2 linked regions of the Caenorhabditis elegans genome follow. The protein of the gene in region 2 purifies or fractionates together with the protein of the main gene of each other region. This does not show direct contact. Each region holds a gene or a part of one and is shown on either strand. Other genes may lie near its edges.

Region 1 (7,279 bases), on a different chromosome or scaffold from region 2:
ACTAGTGTTTTAAAATTTTTTTTTTCAATCAAAAAATTAAGAAAAATTATTTCTTATTCAGTTCCGAAAAGGAGTGGACACAAAAACGCTGGTCAATTTCTACTATAAAGAAAAAAACAAATTGTGCGGAAATTGGCGCCTCGAGACCCCAGATCGCCTGGTTACTCCTGAAGATAAGCAGAGGCTGGAAGAGAAAATGAAGGCCAGTAATATCACAATTTATCAGTGAGTTTTTGAAAAAAATTAAATTTAAAAAGAAATATTGAATTCCAGGCAAGACCCAAAAAAGCAGACGCGTGCTCAGAAGGCCATGTCAACTCGCCTAGCGAATCTACGTGGTAGTAGAGGAGGACAGGAAACGGATCTGAACAACGATTCGGACACCACCTCGGTGAACAGCGCTCAAGAATCCACGAATGGAACTCCGATGCCGGAGCCGGAGCCATCACGACCACCACGCATCAACTTGAAATTCCGATTCACTCCGTCAAAACTCGGAACAGCGACGCCGGGCATTTCGATCATTTCCTCGCCGACTCCACCGAAATCTCCGCCGAAATCCACCCCGCGAACTTCAAAATCGACGCCACCGAAGCGCCCATACCTAAAGCGATCTCTCGAGCAGGCCCGCGGCGGAGCCCAGAAGTCCTATCCGGCCCGAACGCGACGCTCGACGAACATCTTTGAATAATTCCCCATCTCAACTCTCACTTTTTTGCCGGTTGTGTAATATTTATTCTAACGTGATTTTTGTTGTGTCACTTTCTCATATTTTGTGTTGTTTTTTTAATAGTATAATAAATATTATTTATTTTGAGACAAAAAATTTGAAAAAAAAAAATCTAAAAATACGCATTGTGCAACATATTTCACGCGCAAAATATCTCGTAGCGGAAACTACAGTAATTCTTTAAATGACTACTGTAGTGTCGATTTACGGGCTCGGTTTTCAAAATGAATTTCTTTTTGAATTTTTTCCTGCATTCCTCCGTATTATTTTCCAATTTTCTGATTAATTTTAATATTCTATTGATAAATCCGTAAATCGACACAAGTAGCCCTACAGTAGTCATTTAAAGAACTACTGTAGTTTTCGCTATGAGATATATTTTGGTGTCCATTATTACCGATACAGAGCGTGTAGATAGTGAGAGAGTGGCAGACATCCGGGTCCCAAAGGGGCGGGGCGCGCGGAAGAGACGATTTGTGTCGATTTACGGAATGTTGTCAACGGGAAAAATTTCGTAAATCGACACAAATCGTCTCTTCCGCGCGCCCCGCCCCTTTGGGACCCGGATGTCTGCCACTCTCTCACTATCTACACGCTCTGTATCGGTAATATATTGTTTCATTCTCAAAATTGTGTGTTACCGTAGTAAAACGTGATATTTCAATTTTCGTTAAATTCATTCCAAAATGAAAACCTACTTTATAACCAATCAGTGTCGTCTCACTCCGCCCACTTCTTCTGATTGGTTGAAAAGTTGGTGGAGCAAGTCGCTGATTGGTCGCAGTTCAAATTTTGGAGAAAATCACTGGAAAAATAGGCGGAGTTTCGAGACAAAAAGACGATACTTCAAAAGTTGAAAATTCGCAAAATATAATTCGCGCGTTTGTTTTTTGTGGTATTTCTGAATTTGAGACTGCTTGAAATTTTTTTAAACGCAAAATCTTAAAAAATTATTATGGTCCCTCTCGAACTCCAATCGATCGAAATGGCTGGTGAATTTTTTTTGGAACAAATCGTAGTGCAACGTGGCGGATCGGAGCGACACTTGATGCATTCGTCGCGTTTGCCAAACTGACGTCTTGAAAGGATGGTTCAGGCTTCATAAATTTTAGAATGCGAAGAATGGATTGCAGTTTTTGAGGCTTTAAGTTTTCCTGGACCTACAAAATTATTTTTAAATTGCATTTTAAATTAAATCAATTATCTCACCTCGCTATTGAATCCCAAATAAATTATTGCATTGGAAGTGCAATTCAATGTGTAAAACATTGGAATCAACACAAACCACTCGATTCCATGATTTGCGATGATTAGGGGCAGAATTCGGAACAGGGACCATGCGCAGATGTAAAATATCAGAAGAAGGCAGAATTGGAAGGCGTATCTGAGAGAATAAGCTTTTACGAAAGGCTCGGCCCGTGGAGCGCACCCCACTGAAATACCCTATACAAGTGTGTCCCACCGATAAATACATACGCTCCGCCTTAAAAGGTTGGGTCTCGTTAGGTAGTCGCGTCAAAGCCGTCTATTTAACAATCTTATGCCAAAGTTTAAAAAACACGATATTTTCATCTTAAAACTCATCAAAAATCGACTGAAAATATATAACAACTTTCCTAATGAGACTCAACTTTTGTCGACGGAGCGCGTTTGCACCTCGATTTCAAAAAGCGCGCTTTTAAGCGGAAGGCTTACTTGACATCTCGCTCCCTCCGTAATTTTTGCTCTTCACCAGTTGATGAGTTGGGCGTCGATTTGTGAACTGTCCAGAATATCTAAAAACTATTTGTTTCGAAACATTCTTTTTGTGAAAGTAGACAAAAATAACTCAAAAAACTCACCATAACGTAGAAAAACGCCGAAACCACAGAGCTGAGAGCGTTTAAAGGAACATCAAAGTTGTTCGACGAGTTTGCAACTCCTTCTATCACATTGTACGAGTAGGAGAGGTAATTATGATCATAAACAAATCTTAAAGTTGTTTGAGACATTTTTTCAACGAAAAACCAATTTGACTCACGTGCAGCACAGATTCCAATACTGTGATTTGAACATGAAACCCAGAGAAACTGGGATCGAAAGCACAATGAGCAAAATTGTAGTACGGAATGTGAATATTTTATGCTTTTGCAGGCAAATTATCACGTATCTGAAAATGAGTATTGTGCAACATATTTCACGTCAAAATATCTCGTAGCGAAAACTACAGTAACTTTTTAAATGACTACTGTAGCGCTTGCGTCAATTTACGGGCTCGATTTTTGTATTTATTTTCAAAAGATTCATTCATTTTGTCGCTACAGTAGTCATTGAAAGAGTTACTGTAGTTTTCGCTACGAGAAATTCTGCGCGTCAAATATGTTGCGCAATACGCATTCTCAGAATTTTGTGTTCCCGTAATACTTACCTGTTGAGCCCCATGACCACCTGGAGAATTGTCTCGAAGTACCAAAGGAAGAGAAAAATAGAGCTTAATGTTGTGTTTAATGTGTTGGTTTTGGAAAAGCTTGTCAAGAAAGACTGCAAAAATGTGCGTTTACAAGTAATAAAGTTAATCATAGTGCAGCGACCAAAATTTTGGACCTGCGGCAAACAGATCGAGGCGAGACCCATTTGGAATCTTTAAAACTTACACTGGTAATAATAGACGGTGCCGAGTAGAAAGTAGCCGCGCTCACTTGAAAAACATCTGACAAAATGTTGAAAAACGACACAATGTAAACTGGATTCTTCCGTTTACAAAATGCCAGCCGAAACACCGCGATGATGGTGATGAGGTTTAAGATCAGACTGATGCCTGATAGCAGTCCGAATAAGAAGCCAAGGAAGGGTTTCAGAGGGAATTCCATCATGTTCTGCTGGGAAAAACAAATGAGAACTGAAGAGGGAAGAAAATTATCGACCAAAAATAATAAAAAAGTGATAATAACAAGAATTGTTAAGTAGAAAAATACAATTTTTGTGGGTAGGTGTCTAGCGCTGGTACGGAAATGAGAAAAGGACAAGGCAGTCAGAAGTCTGTGAGCAGTTTTCTTAATACTTCTAAGCGACTTGTATCTTGTCACTGTTTTTCTAGCATTTATAGTTCCGTTTTCTAAGAATTTTTTAGAATTCCGAAGAAAATAAAGGAAGGATTCAAAAAACCAATTTTTAAAAATAATGCTTCTACAAAAGTTTAAATAATATAATGACAAAGTAAGACTGAAATAGTTTTTAATGTTTCGTCAACTTCTCAGTAATCTTCATAACAGTGTTCAAGAAATTTGTGTCAGACGTGAACTGGCAGTTCAGGTTGACTGCTTATGATGTCTGTGCACTCATTAAAAATGGACTATGAACTGAAATTGTGATCTGTTCAATTTGACACATCGCTTTATTTGAAATAGTTGTTCCATTTTTACTTTGATATGATCCAAGCAAATAGCATCTGTCAATTGTCAAATTTTGTGGTTGAAAAGTGCTGTAGTGAACACATGAAAAAATAGCGCTTTATTATGTTTGAGATCAAATTTTTTTCAAATAATTATCGAATCGGCGTTTCTGATATAACTGTATCATGTAGCAATCTCCATAAATTGTCGCGTAGACCCCCAGAGAACAAGAATTTTCAGGTTATTCTTTAATCTTTAATTCCCTCCACCCCAACCGCGATTGATGAATTGTGACGGTTAAAACAAAAAATTCTTTTCCGGAGAATCGGAAGACAGAGAATTATTGCCACCGGGTCAACAAACGCAAAAAGTCCAAGAGCACTAAGTTCCAAGTAGTTGAATCCTCTGGAATAATTTCTCTCGCTGATGCGATTGTTCTAATAAGGAATACCTGGGCAATTGGATGTCAAAAACTGGACTATACCAGCAAAGTAGACATGGGGAAAAGCTGATGAAAATAGGAATGACGGTTTGGACAATCAATGCTCGTAGTAGTTCAAATTGAAGCTTCACTGTTTTTTTGCTAGCGTTCACTGTCATTTTCTTCAGTTTGTACATTATCTGAAATGTTAATAATTTTTGCTTGATTTGAGTTTGGAAGATAACTTTCTTAGCCATGATTAAAAATGAGAATATAGACGCCACTGATAATAGGGTTACCATAATTGTGGCTGCCCATGATCGAAACGTTGTTTCCCCAGATCCTCCCTGAAACTCGAAAATTCTAAAGCTATCGGCCAGTAATTTTATCTCACACGAAACAAGGTCCCAATCATATTACAATTCATTGAGTCAGTGCCATAAATCTCAAGGAAATCTTTGCGAATATACTCTCTGGTTTCCACATTTGCACGGCCTGGGAAGTAACAAATTGCGTGCCATGTTACAAAATACAATACTAAAACAAACGCCGATATAGTCATATACCAGTGGAAGTTCCGGTCAGTAAGGCTTGACTTTTGAACCACAAGGTACCGATAGACAAAATGGAGTAGGATAATTGCGTAGCTAGCTGACACCAAAGAGCAGCGACCGACCAACATGTGAAAGTTGAACTCGGAAACTTCAGAAAACGGCCCATGTCTGACGGTGAGGAAACAACAATAACCATAGCTGTGGATGTCCTGAATAAATTTTATCATTCAAATTTTAAAAAAATTGCTTCACGATTTTCTGTTACTTACCAGTGGAACAAGTACATTCACAACTGAATAGATCAAGTTGAATACTGCGAAAGATAAGAGAAGAAATCGATAGTTGCCAAAATTAGCAGATTTTTCAGAGAAGATAAGATAGACAAATATAGGATTTACCAGAAATGAGAGCGCGCAAAAAAGTCGCGGAATGTAAAGAAAAAACCATTCGTCGAGCATCACTCGTGCTATATTTTGACGAAAACAGTCCAAGCCAAATTGAGACAGACACCTATCTCGGAATTAGTTGTCGCTAAGGATGTTGCCAAATTTCCTTTTTGTTCATCTAATAGTTCCGGTGTCTGTCTCTATGTGTATTGTATGTTTCCATAACAAAAAGGTTACTGTAAAAATAGACAAATCCAAAACAGCGTTTCAAAAGGCCGATTGAAAGAAAATGGTCAGTTAGAGTTTGCAATCAATAACCTCCGCGCACTCAAATTTAAATCTCAAAACTTTCAAATGTTGCTGCGACTTTCAGTAACTTTCTAGAACTCTCGTCGGCCTTTTCAGAAATTCCATCTTCTGGTCTGTCGCTTCGTTTGAAAAAATTTTTCAAATTTTATTTTGAAATTTTCAAACCAAATAGCATCTGTGTATTGTAAAAATTGGTGAATGAATGGTGCAGTTGTGCAAATTTTACAAAATAACGTTGTATTATATACAGGTAAAATCAAATCAAATTTAAATCATTATTCTGATATACATAATTTTGTCCTGTAGCATTTTGCATAAATTGTCGTGTAGATCCCCAGAGAACAAGAATTTTCAGGTTATTCCTCAATCTTTAATTCCTTCCACGTTAACCGCGATTGATGAATTGTGACGGTTAAAACAAAAAATTCTTTTCCGGAGAATCGGAAGACAGAGAATTATTGCCACCGGGTCAACAAACGCAAAAACTCCAAGAGCACTAAGTTCCAAGTAGTTGAATCCTCTGGAATAATTTTTCTCGCTCATGCGATCGTTGTAACGAGAAATACCTGGGCAATTGGATGTCAAAAACTGGACTATACCAGCCAATCAGACATGGGGAAAAGCTGATAAAAATCGGAATGGCGGTTTGGACAATCAATGCTCGTAGTAGTTCAAATTGAATCTTCACTGTTTTTTTGCTAGCATTCACTGTCATTTTCTTCAGTTTGTACATTATCTGAAATGTTAATAATTTAAAATTTCATGCTCGATATGAGTTGGGAAAATAACTTTCTTAGCCATGATTAAAAATGAGAAGATTGACGCCACTGATACTGAGGTCACCATAATTAAAGCTGCCCATGATCGAAACGTTGTTTCCCCAGATCCTCCCTGAAACTTGAAAATTCTAAAGCTATTGACCAGTAATTTTATCTCACACGAAACAAGGTCCCAATCATATTACAATTCATTGAGTCAGTGCCATAAATTTCAAGGAAATATTTGCGGATATACTCTCTGGTTTCCACATTTGCACGGCCTGGGTTCCACATTTGCACGGCCTTTCTCTGAATTTGTAGTCGTCAAGGATGTCGCCAAATTTCCTTTCTGTTCAGTTAGTAGTTCTGATGTCTGTCTGCATGGGCGTTGTATTAAAAAAATTCGGCTGTTAGAGTTAGCAATCAATATCCTCCGCGCATTCAAATTTAAATACGCAAAATTGTCAAAAGTTTCTACGATTTTCAATGATTTTCTAGAACTCTTGTCGGCCTAATAGCAAGGTTAGGAAAAGTTAATTTTAGAAATGTTCATATTAAAAAAGAACCTTTCTATAAAAAATTGGAAGTAAAAAACGGAGCACCTATTATACGTTTTCGACATGCTCCAAACTTATAGCATACGGAAATTAGCGTATGTATACATACTTTCCAATATAAGTCGGAGGTAAATTAATTTTTTGGCCAACAACAAATTGCAGGTTTTCAAGTTTTCACCAAGTTTGGCAAACC
Region 2 (7,279 bases):
CTGCATAAGATTCAAAGAGCTCAGTTCCCCACCAACTGGATCTCATATTGTTTACTACAAAGTTGACAGTCCGACATTGTGAGTTCATATTACACAGAGGTGTTCTTATCGAGAGGTCAAACTAAAATAAGTAGAACGGTTGTTTAAAACTTATAACGTCTGATTCAGCTGTGGTCTTTCGTATGTTGGTCGAGCTGACCCTGCCAACCCAGTTTATCTTAGTTTTGGATGTGACAATGTAAGAAATCTTTCATGTCATTATTTCCCAATTGAGGAAATTTCAGAACAAAGGAGTTGCAATTCATGAAACAATGCATGCGCTCGGAGTTGCCCATCAGCACCTTCGCAATGATCGTGATCAATTTATTACTATTAATTGGAGTAACATTGATCCACAACAATACGATGCATTTGTTGTGGTGGATTCAAAACTGTACACTTCGTAAGTGTTTAGTAATCCATATGGTTCAAAACAAAACTTCTAGATACGGAGTGAAATACGCATACGACAGTATCATGCATTACAACGGTTACACTGCTGCTCAAAACATTGCGATTCCTACTATGAACCCAAAAACAAACTCTGCCGTGAATCTTAAAGTTCTTGGACAAAGGCAAAAGATGGGGACAACCGATATTGAACTTCTGAAAAAAATGTATTGTCAACCTGGTGAGTGGAATGTGTGTTAATAATACTGAAAATCAAAATTTCAGGATGCGATGACAAAAATGTTTATTGCGGAGCATGGGCTCTCAAAGACTTGTGCAAAAATCCGGGACATGATCAATACATGGCTGCCAATTGTAAGAAGAGTTGTGGATTGTGTGCTATTGGAAAATAATGTATTTTTGAATGTGATCATAAAGCAAATTTAATAATTAAAAGTATACATCGTTCACAACAAAGGTTTCTGTGATCCACGGAGCATCCAGTTCCAGTGTTCTATGAAAATCAAATCCCGGAAGGTTCTGAACCAAGAGATTTAGTCAACGTTTTCTGGGAAAAAAATAAAAAAATACCACAGTGTCGTTCATAAGTTCGCAAGCAACCAAACAGTAGATAGCCTAAAATTACACAACTAAAAGTTACTTGAATTTTTGAAAGACAAACCAGATAAAGGATAAAAGCAATGTATAACAAAGTAAATGGCCCAATAATAACAAAAATCAGCCAACCAGTGCCGAAATTTTCAGTCACATACTGGAAAATGAAGTACACGTTGATCCCGATTGTAATAATTCCACAGATAATAGAAAAGTATTGTAGAGGTCTGAAAAATAAAAATTGTTCTAATTTGCTTGGTTTTGTGAGTACTTGGAAGTTCGAAAATTGTGCATAATCCGCTTACTGGAAGTAAATGTAATCATCGGAATCAATGCAAACGGTAGCTGTACCATTTGAACACAGTTTAGAAAGTCATTCATACCTGAAAATTAAATTATGGTATACAACTTGTTTTCGATCAAAAGCGGCATGAATCTCAAGAATATACCAAAAATATACTATAGCGACTGTGTTGTAACATCACTTTTTGCCACCAGGCAATTTCCAAAGTTGCCTAAAAATTTTTTTCAGCAACCGGAAACTTGATTCCCTGACATTTACCAATTCTTGACTGAAAATCTACCTGTCAAATTTTTGATGCCGTGGGCTTTTATGCAGAGGATCAACGTTGGAGTGATTGCAACCGCTCTGGTTATCAGTACACGTTTCCATTTCGGCCACGAGATTCTCACAAATCCTTCCATCACAAACTGTCCTGTATATGTTCCTGTCATTGTTGATGATTGTCCTGCTGCGAATATGCCAATCGCCCAAATTATCATTGCAAATAGTCCAAACTGACATCCCAGGTATATCCCACCCTTGAATAAAAACGTGACATTTGGATTAATTTCCAATCATACTTGAAACAAATCCACTGTTACAGATGATGTATTGTTTGGAAAGACGTTCGAATCGGGAATATCATTGTGAGACAGACACATTGAATTCTCAATTAATTTTAAATTTATCATTTGTTATCAGTTTATTTTTCTTACAACGTCACCATTGGTCTTTTGATAAAGTCCACGTGCAAATACGGAGAGAACAAACAGATTTATAAAAAAACTGACGGACAATGCAAACGCCGATTCAATGGAAAAATATTTGTTCGCTTCGGCAATGCGAGTTTTGCTTGAGCGGTCGACTTTTCGTGACTCAAAATCTTAGAATCACATAACGTTATTTCGATAGAACTAACCTTAACCAAAGCTGAATGCAAATAAAAATTATGTGGCATTATCACGGCTCCAAAAATGGAAATAGCCGTTATAATTTCTTCCTTTCCACATCCACTACACCAGGGGACAACAGTACCAGTAAGAACTTTAGTCAACACTGGCTTCATCACAACAAACTGAAAAGCTGAATTTAACTGGATAGAAAATGATAAATGCTTACTTCGTAACCAAAAGAAATTGCCATTGTAGAAATTAGAGCAACAAATATAAACTCCAGTTTTCGGATGCCATATCTATCAATGAACAGAAAAGTGAAAGTATCCAAGATAGTAATTAGAACGCCGACTAATAAAGGAATTCTGAAAATGGAATTTTGTGAAGTTTTCCTAAATTATTTTCTAGTTAAAATTGATCTTACTTGCCACTGGACAATAAATAAATGGCTATTGCCGTTCCGATAACCTCTTGCATATCACTGCATACAATCGCAATCTCAATCATGAGCCAAAGAATGATTCGGGGAACCAACGGATAGTAATCATAAGCAATCTTAATGAATTTACAAAATTATTTTAAAAGTTGAATTATCTACTTCAGCCATGTGTTTCCCACTGACAACGCCTAGTCTTGCGGACATTCGTTGAAGAAGCATTCCAACAATATGAGACACCAATAAAACCCAGAGAAGTTTGTATTCAGCTTGAGCTCCAGCCTGGAGATCACTTTCAATGTTTCCTGGATCCAAATACGCAATGCTCATTAGAAATCCAGGGCCAGTAAATGCCCAAAGCTTACGCCAGGAGAACCATGTATTCTGAGCATTTATGCAAACTGAAATTTGTTTTGCTTGATTTAAAATAATACCTTTTCATCTTCGGGAATTTTTACTGCAATCGTGTCATCAAACGTTTTTTCTCGAGCCGGGGGAGCTAGATCAGATATGTTAGCGTTTTGAAAACCAGGCATTTTCAGAGCTCAAGGGTTAGCAACAGCAAATACAGGTTACTGTCGGACTCATGTGTTTTATACTTTTTATGTTGTTATTTTTTCTCCTCTGATAATAAGTAATCATAACAAAAAATTTCTTCCGCAGTTCCTCTGTTATCTAAAAACAAATAAGACTACTCCCAACAATTAAATCCTCTGCTTCATGTGGCAAGCATGAAAAAAATAGACAGGTGAGAGTTTGTAACTTGTTTATTGTGAAATATAAACTAAAAATGTTTGAGAATTGAGTTTCGACATTAAATCTCTTACATGTTTTAGATATTCCAAAGTTTGGAATATTTGGAATCCAAACATTTCAGTCAAATTTTGGTGAACTATAAAATTAGATTTTTTTTTTTTACTTTTTTAAAGAAATTTTGAGTATTTTTGCAATTTTGATATAAATTTCACATACAGATTAACAATTAACACACAATAACAATTAAAATTGCACATTTTTACCTGATTTCCCAAGTTATTATAGTCATGTTTTTTTGTATTCAGCTTACTATTCATGTGCAGAAACATGCTTAGTTTTTTTTTGCTTGTATTGAAGGAGAAGTAGTGAGAAATAGCTTAAACCCGGCTTTCGTGGTGTCAAAATAGCCAAATATCGCAATCAAACTTTTCAAAGAAAAATTCTTTCAAAAATTGATAATTATCAAGTTTCTACCACATTTTTGGAAGTCGTAGATCAAAAAAAAAACTTTCGTTCTAATTTTATAGAGTTTCAAATATTAGTAATCAAACATTGCAGGTATTCGAATACTGTCAATAAAAGTTTTTCAAACAAATTTTGAAATTATTTTTGTGATATTAGATCAGTTTGGCACCACGTTAGTGATTTTCAACAGTTTTTCCAATAAATAGCTCATTTTTTGCACGATAAAACAAATAATGATGTTTCTTTTCTTGTCTTCTGATGTTCCTGATGTTGTATCACAATTTCACATTTTCTGCGAGGCACATCAAAAGAGTCTCAAACATACTTTATATCTATTCAATTTAATAGAAAAGTAGAGTCGTGGAAACATATAAACATACACACAAGTGAAGAAAAAAACACGATGAAAAACCCAAAATGAGAATTATGCTCATTTAATATAAATTATTGATATCCTGCATTGTCATGGACTGCTGATGAATCAACCGCCAACCACGGAGCATCGTTTTCGTATGACTTGTTAAAGCTGAATCCTCGGATGGAAACGGTGTCTGGGATAATTTCACAAGAGACCAAACAGTATAGTGCCTGAAAAATTAACGGTAATGAACAAAAGTTAAAGTTTATCAGTAGTTAAATATGACACTATCAAATTTAATTTAGTTTTTTTAATAATATGGTTTTCAAGAAGTGCCGGGCGAAATACAATCACTACTAAAATTTTCAGATTGTAGGCGGATATCATTGTCAATGAAACTTGTAAATTGTTGAAGTTCCAATAATAAAGCCACAAAAAACTAACACATAGACTTACTAGATATAACACAAAGAGCACGTATGCAAAGGTGATCGGAGCAAGAACCATTATGATATACCACTCACTACCAAGTCGAGAAAACACGTAGTCAGAAATAAAATAAACGTTAATCGATAAAATTAACGCAGAAGTGATCAGAGCAAAAATTTGAAAAACTCTGAAAAAAAAGATAAATCTGAAAAGTATCAGTAATTTTTTACTCACTTAGAGCTTCTGAAGTCGTGCATTATTTTTCGGCTCGAGGTAAATGTGATGATTGGAATTAGTGCAAACGGAAGTTGAATCATTTGAACACAATTTAAGAAATCATTCATTCCTGGAAAACAATATTTATAAGTCTGATTTTATATATTTTTGTAGCTGTACTATCCCTGATAGTTCTACCTGTTAAGTTTTGAACTCCTTGCGAATAAAACGTGAGCACGAGGGTTGGAGTGATTGCAATCGCTCTTGTAATTAGAACTCTCTTCCATTTGGGCCACTCAATTTTCACAAATCCTTCCATCACAAACTGTCCTGTATATGTTCCTGTCATTGTTGATGACTGTCCAGCTGCGAATATTCCAATTCCCCAGATAAACATTGCAATAGCTCCAAACTGGCATCCGAGATAAATTCCACCCTGAAAATAACATTGTTTTGTTTTGCGGAAAAAAGAAAATGTGTAACCTTATAGATATCCACCTCAACTGGTTCAGTGTTATTTGGGAATATATCTGCATCCGGGATGTCGTGTCTGGCTATGCACATTTCTCTCTGAAAACGAGCAATCAAAAATAATTTTTGAAAAAGACACTAACAACATCCGCATTTGTTTTCTGGTAAAGTCCATGTGCGAAAACGGCGACCACAAAAAGGTTGATGAAGAAGCTGAGGAAAAGAGCAATTGCCGACTCAAGTGTGAAATATTTGTTGGCCTCAGCCACACGACGACGGTCTTTACGATCTACACGGCGAGACTGAAATTTCATTTGAAAGAGTGTAATGGACCACGTTTCAATCAATACTAGCAACAAGTCGACGTTGACGTTTTAAAGAAAATAAGAAAAAAATCAGCTTGAAATTTGTAATCATTAATAATTTCACCACAGACCACAGTTTCATAAAAAAAACATTCTCATTGAAGAAATAATTTTTTGAATAGAACTCTTCGAAACATTTGGTGGTAAAAACAAAAATACAATTGTTGCATACAATTGTTTAATACGTGGTCTATTTGTTTCAGAAATTTAGGCATACGGTTCACAAAGTATGAATTTACTATTTTTCTATTTCTAAAGTGCATAGTATTGCATGCGTGTAAAAAATAAACTTGCAAAAAAATTCAAACAGCTGATACGTATTCGCGTTTTCCGCGGTTTATCAAAATTCGATCATGATAGATTTTTTTAAAGATCATAACTCCGCATTTTGTTTTTCACAAAATTATTGTTGTTTTTCTTTAGGTCTGTCACATGTTATCAGATGGTCAGATCAACACAGTCAACCGAAAATTTGAATAATAAAGTCAAACCTTCACTAGAGCCGAATGAAGGTACAAATTGTGCGGCATGATGACAGCTCCGACAACTGATATCGCTTGCATAAACTCTCCTTTTCCACATCCAGCGCACCAAGGTACCACCATTCCAGATATAACTTCACCAATTGGAGGTTTCACAACGACAAACTGAAAAAAAACTTGCATTTAACATTTTTCAGGCTTTGTCAATTTCACCTCATAGCCAAATGACACTGTCATTGTTAAAATAAGAAATCCAAAGATTAATTCCAGTTTTCGGATTCCGTACCGGTCGATCAGCAAAAATGTGAAGGTGTCAAGAATTGTGATGAAAACTCCAACGTAGAGTGGAACGCTGTTAAAAACATGTTAAAACACGCCAAAGCAAAATTCAACCTACAATCCTTTAGAGAGCAAGAAAATGGCAATTGCTGTTCCAATAACTTCTTGCATATCACTACACACAATTGCAATCTCGATCATAAGCCAGAGAATGATGCGAGGAAGTCTTGGGTAAAATTGGTAGGCAACCTTAAGCACATAATATTTAAATTTACTCAATGTAACTTAGATATTACCTCTGCCATATGTTTTCCACTGACAACTCCAAGTCTTGCAGACATTCGTTGGAGCAACATTCCGATAATATGAGCTGAGAGCAAAACCCACAAAAGTTTGTAAGCCGCTTGTGCGCCAGACTGAAGGTCGCTTTCAATGTTTCCTGGGTCCAAATAGGCAATACTCATGAGAAATCCGGGCCCTGTGAACGCCCATAATTTTTTGAAGGAGAACGCTTTTTCCTGAAAAAAAATTGGTTATAGGAAATTAACATTAATAATTGATATAAAAAACTTTTTATCAATAAGAACTGAAACCAAACATTTCGAAAATCAAAACTCCAAATTTGTAATAATTTCACCATAAAGGAGACATAACTTAAACGAACAGTGGGCGGTAATCGGAAGCTCTAATTAATTCAAACAGTGGGTGATTGTCGAATTCAATAAATTTGACAAATGACAAGCGTTTATTTTGGGAAAAAAAACAACAAGAAAACGAGCGAAAAATGAATTTGAACTGCTTT

What was found. Proteins that work in one complex are often made in the same cells at the same time.
Region 1: the proteins of smf-2 (region 2) and srx-4 fractionate together in Caenorhabditis elegans (co-fractionation; one large-scale study listed by BioGRID). This does not show direct contact.

The regions. Positions count from the first base shown.
Region 1 is NC_003283.11:689,192-696,470, forward strand, and holds srx-4 (G-protein coupled receptors family 1 profile domain-containing protein), read right to left. Parts: upstream 3,580-7,279; coding exon 3,364-3,579; intron 3,251-3,363; coding exon 3,138-3,250; intron 2,880-3,137; coding exon 2,751-2,879; intron 2,702-2,750; coding exon 2,572-2,701; intron 2,506-2,571; coding exon 2,426-2,505; intron 2,115-2,425; coding exon 1,940-2,114; intron 1,891-1,939; coding exon 1,684-1,890; downstream 1-1,683. Other genes in the region: H25P19.1 (CUE domain-containing protein), read left to right, coding at 62-225, 274-691; srj-53 (Serpentine Receptor, class J), read right to left, coding at 4,350-4,506, 4,553-4,722, 4,768-4,869, 4,917-5,285, 5,346-5,534; srj-52 (Serpentine Receptor, class J), read right to left, coding at 6,135-6,291, 6,338-6,507, 6,561-6,662, 6,710-6,823.
Region 2 is NC_003284.9:6,715,479-6,722,757, forward strand, and holds smf-2 (NRAMP-like transporter smf-2), read right to left. Parts: upstream 3,218-7,279; 5' UTR 3,193-3,217; coding exon 3,091-3,192; intron 3,041-3,090; coding exon 2,819-3,040; intron 2,776-2,818; coding exon 2,645-2,775; intron 2,586-2,644; coding exon 2,447-2,585; intron 2,403-2,446; coding exon 2,247-2,402; intron 2,203-2,246; coding exon 2,044-2,202; intron 1,996-2,043; coding exon 1,909-1,995; intron 1,867-1,908; coding exon 1,629-1,866; intron 1,428-1,628; coding exon 1,316-1,427; intron 1,272-1,315; coding exon 1,112-1,271; intron 1,066-1,111; coding exon 1,021-1,065; intron 970-1,020; coding exon 880-969; 3' UTR 843-879; downstream 1-842. Other genes in the region: Zinc metalloproteinase nas-11, read left to right, coding at 1-78, 169-238, 285-442, 486-670, 715-842; NRAMP-like transporter smf-1, read right to left, coding at 4,322-4,465, 4,692-4,851, 4,899-5,010, 5,079-5,316, 5,364-5,450, 5,495-5,653, 6,208-6,363, 6,412-6,550 and 2 more. UniProt on the Caenorhabditis elegans protein: Probable divalent metal ion transporter which regulates Mn(2+) uptake.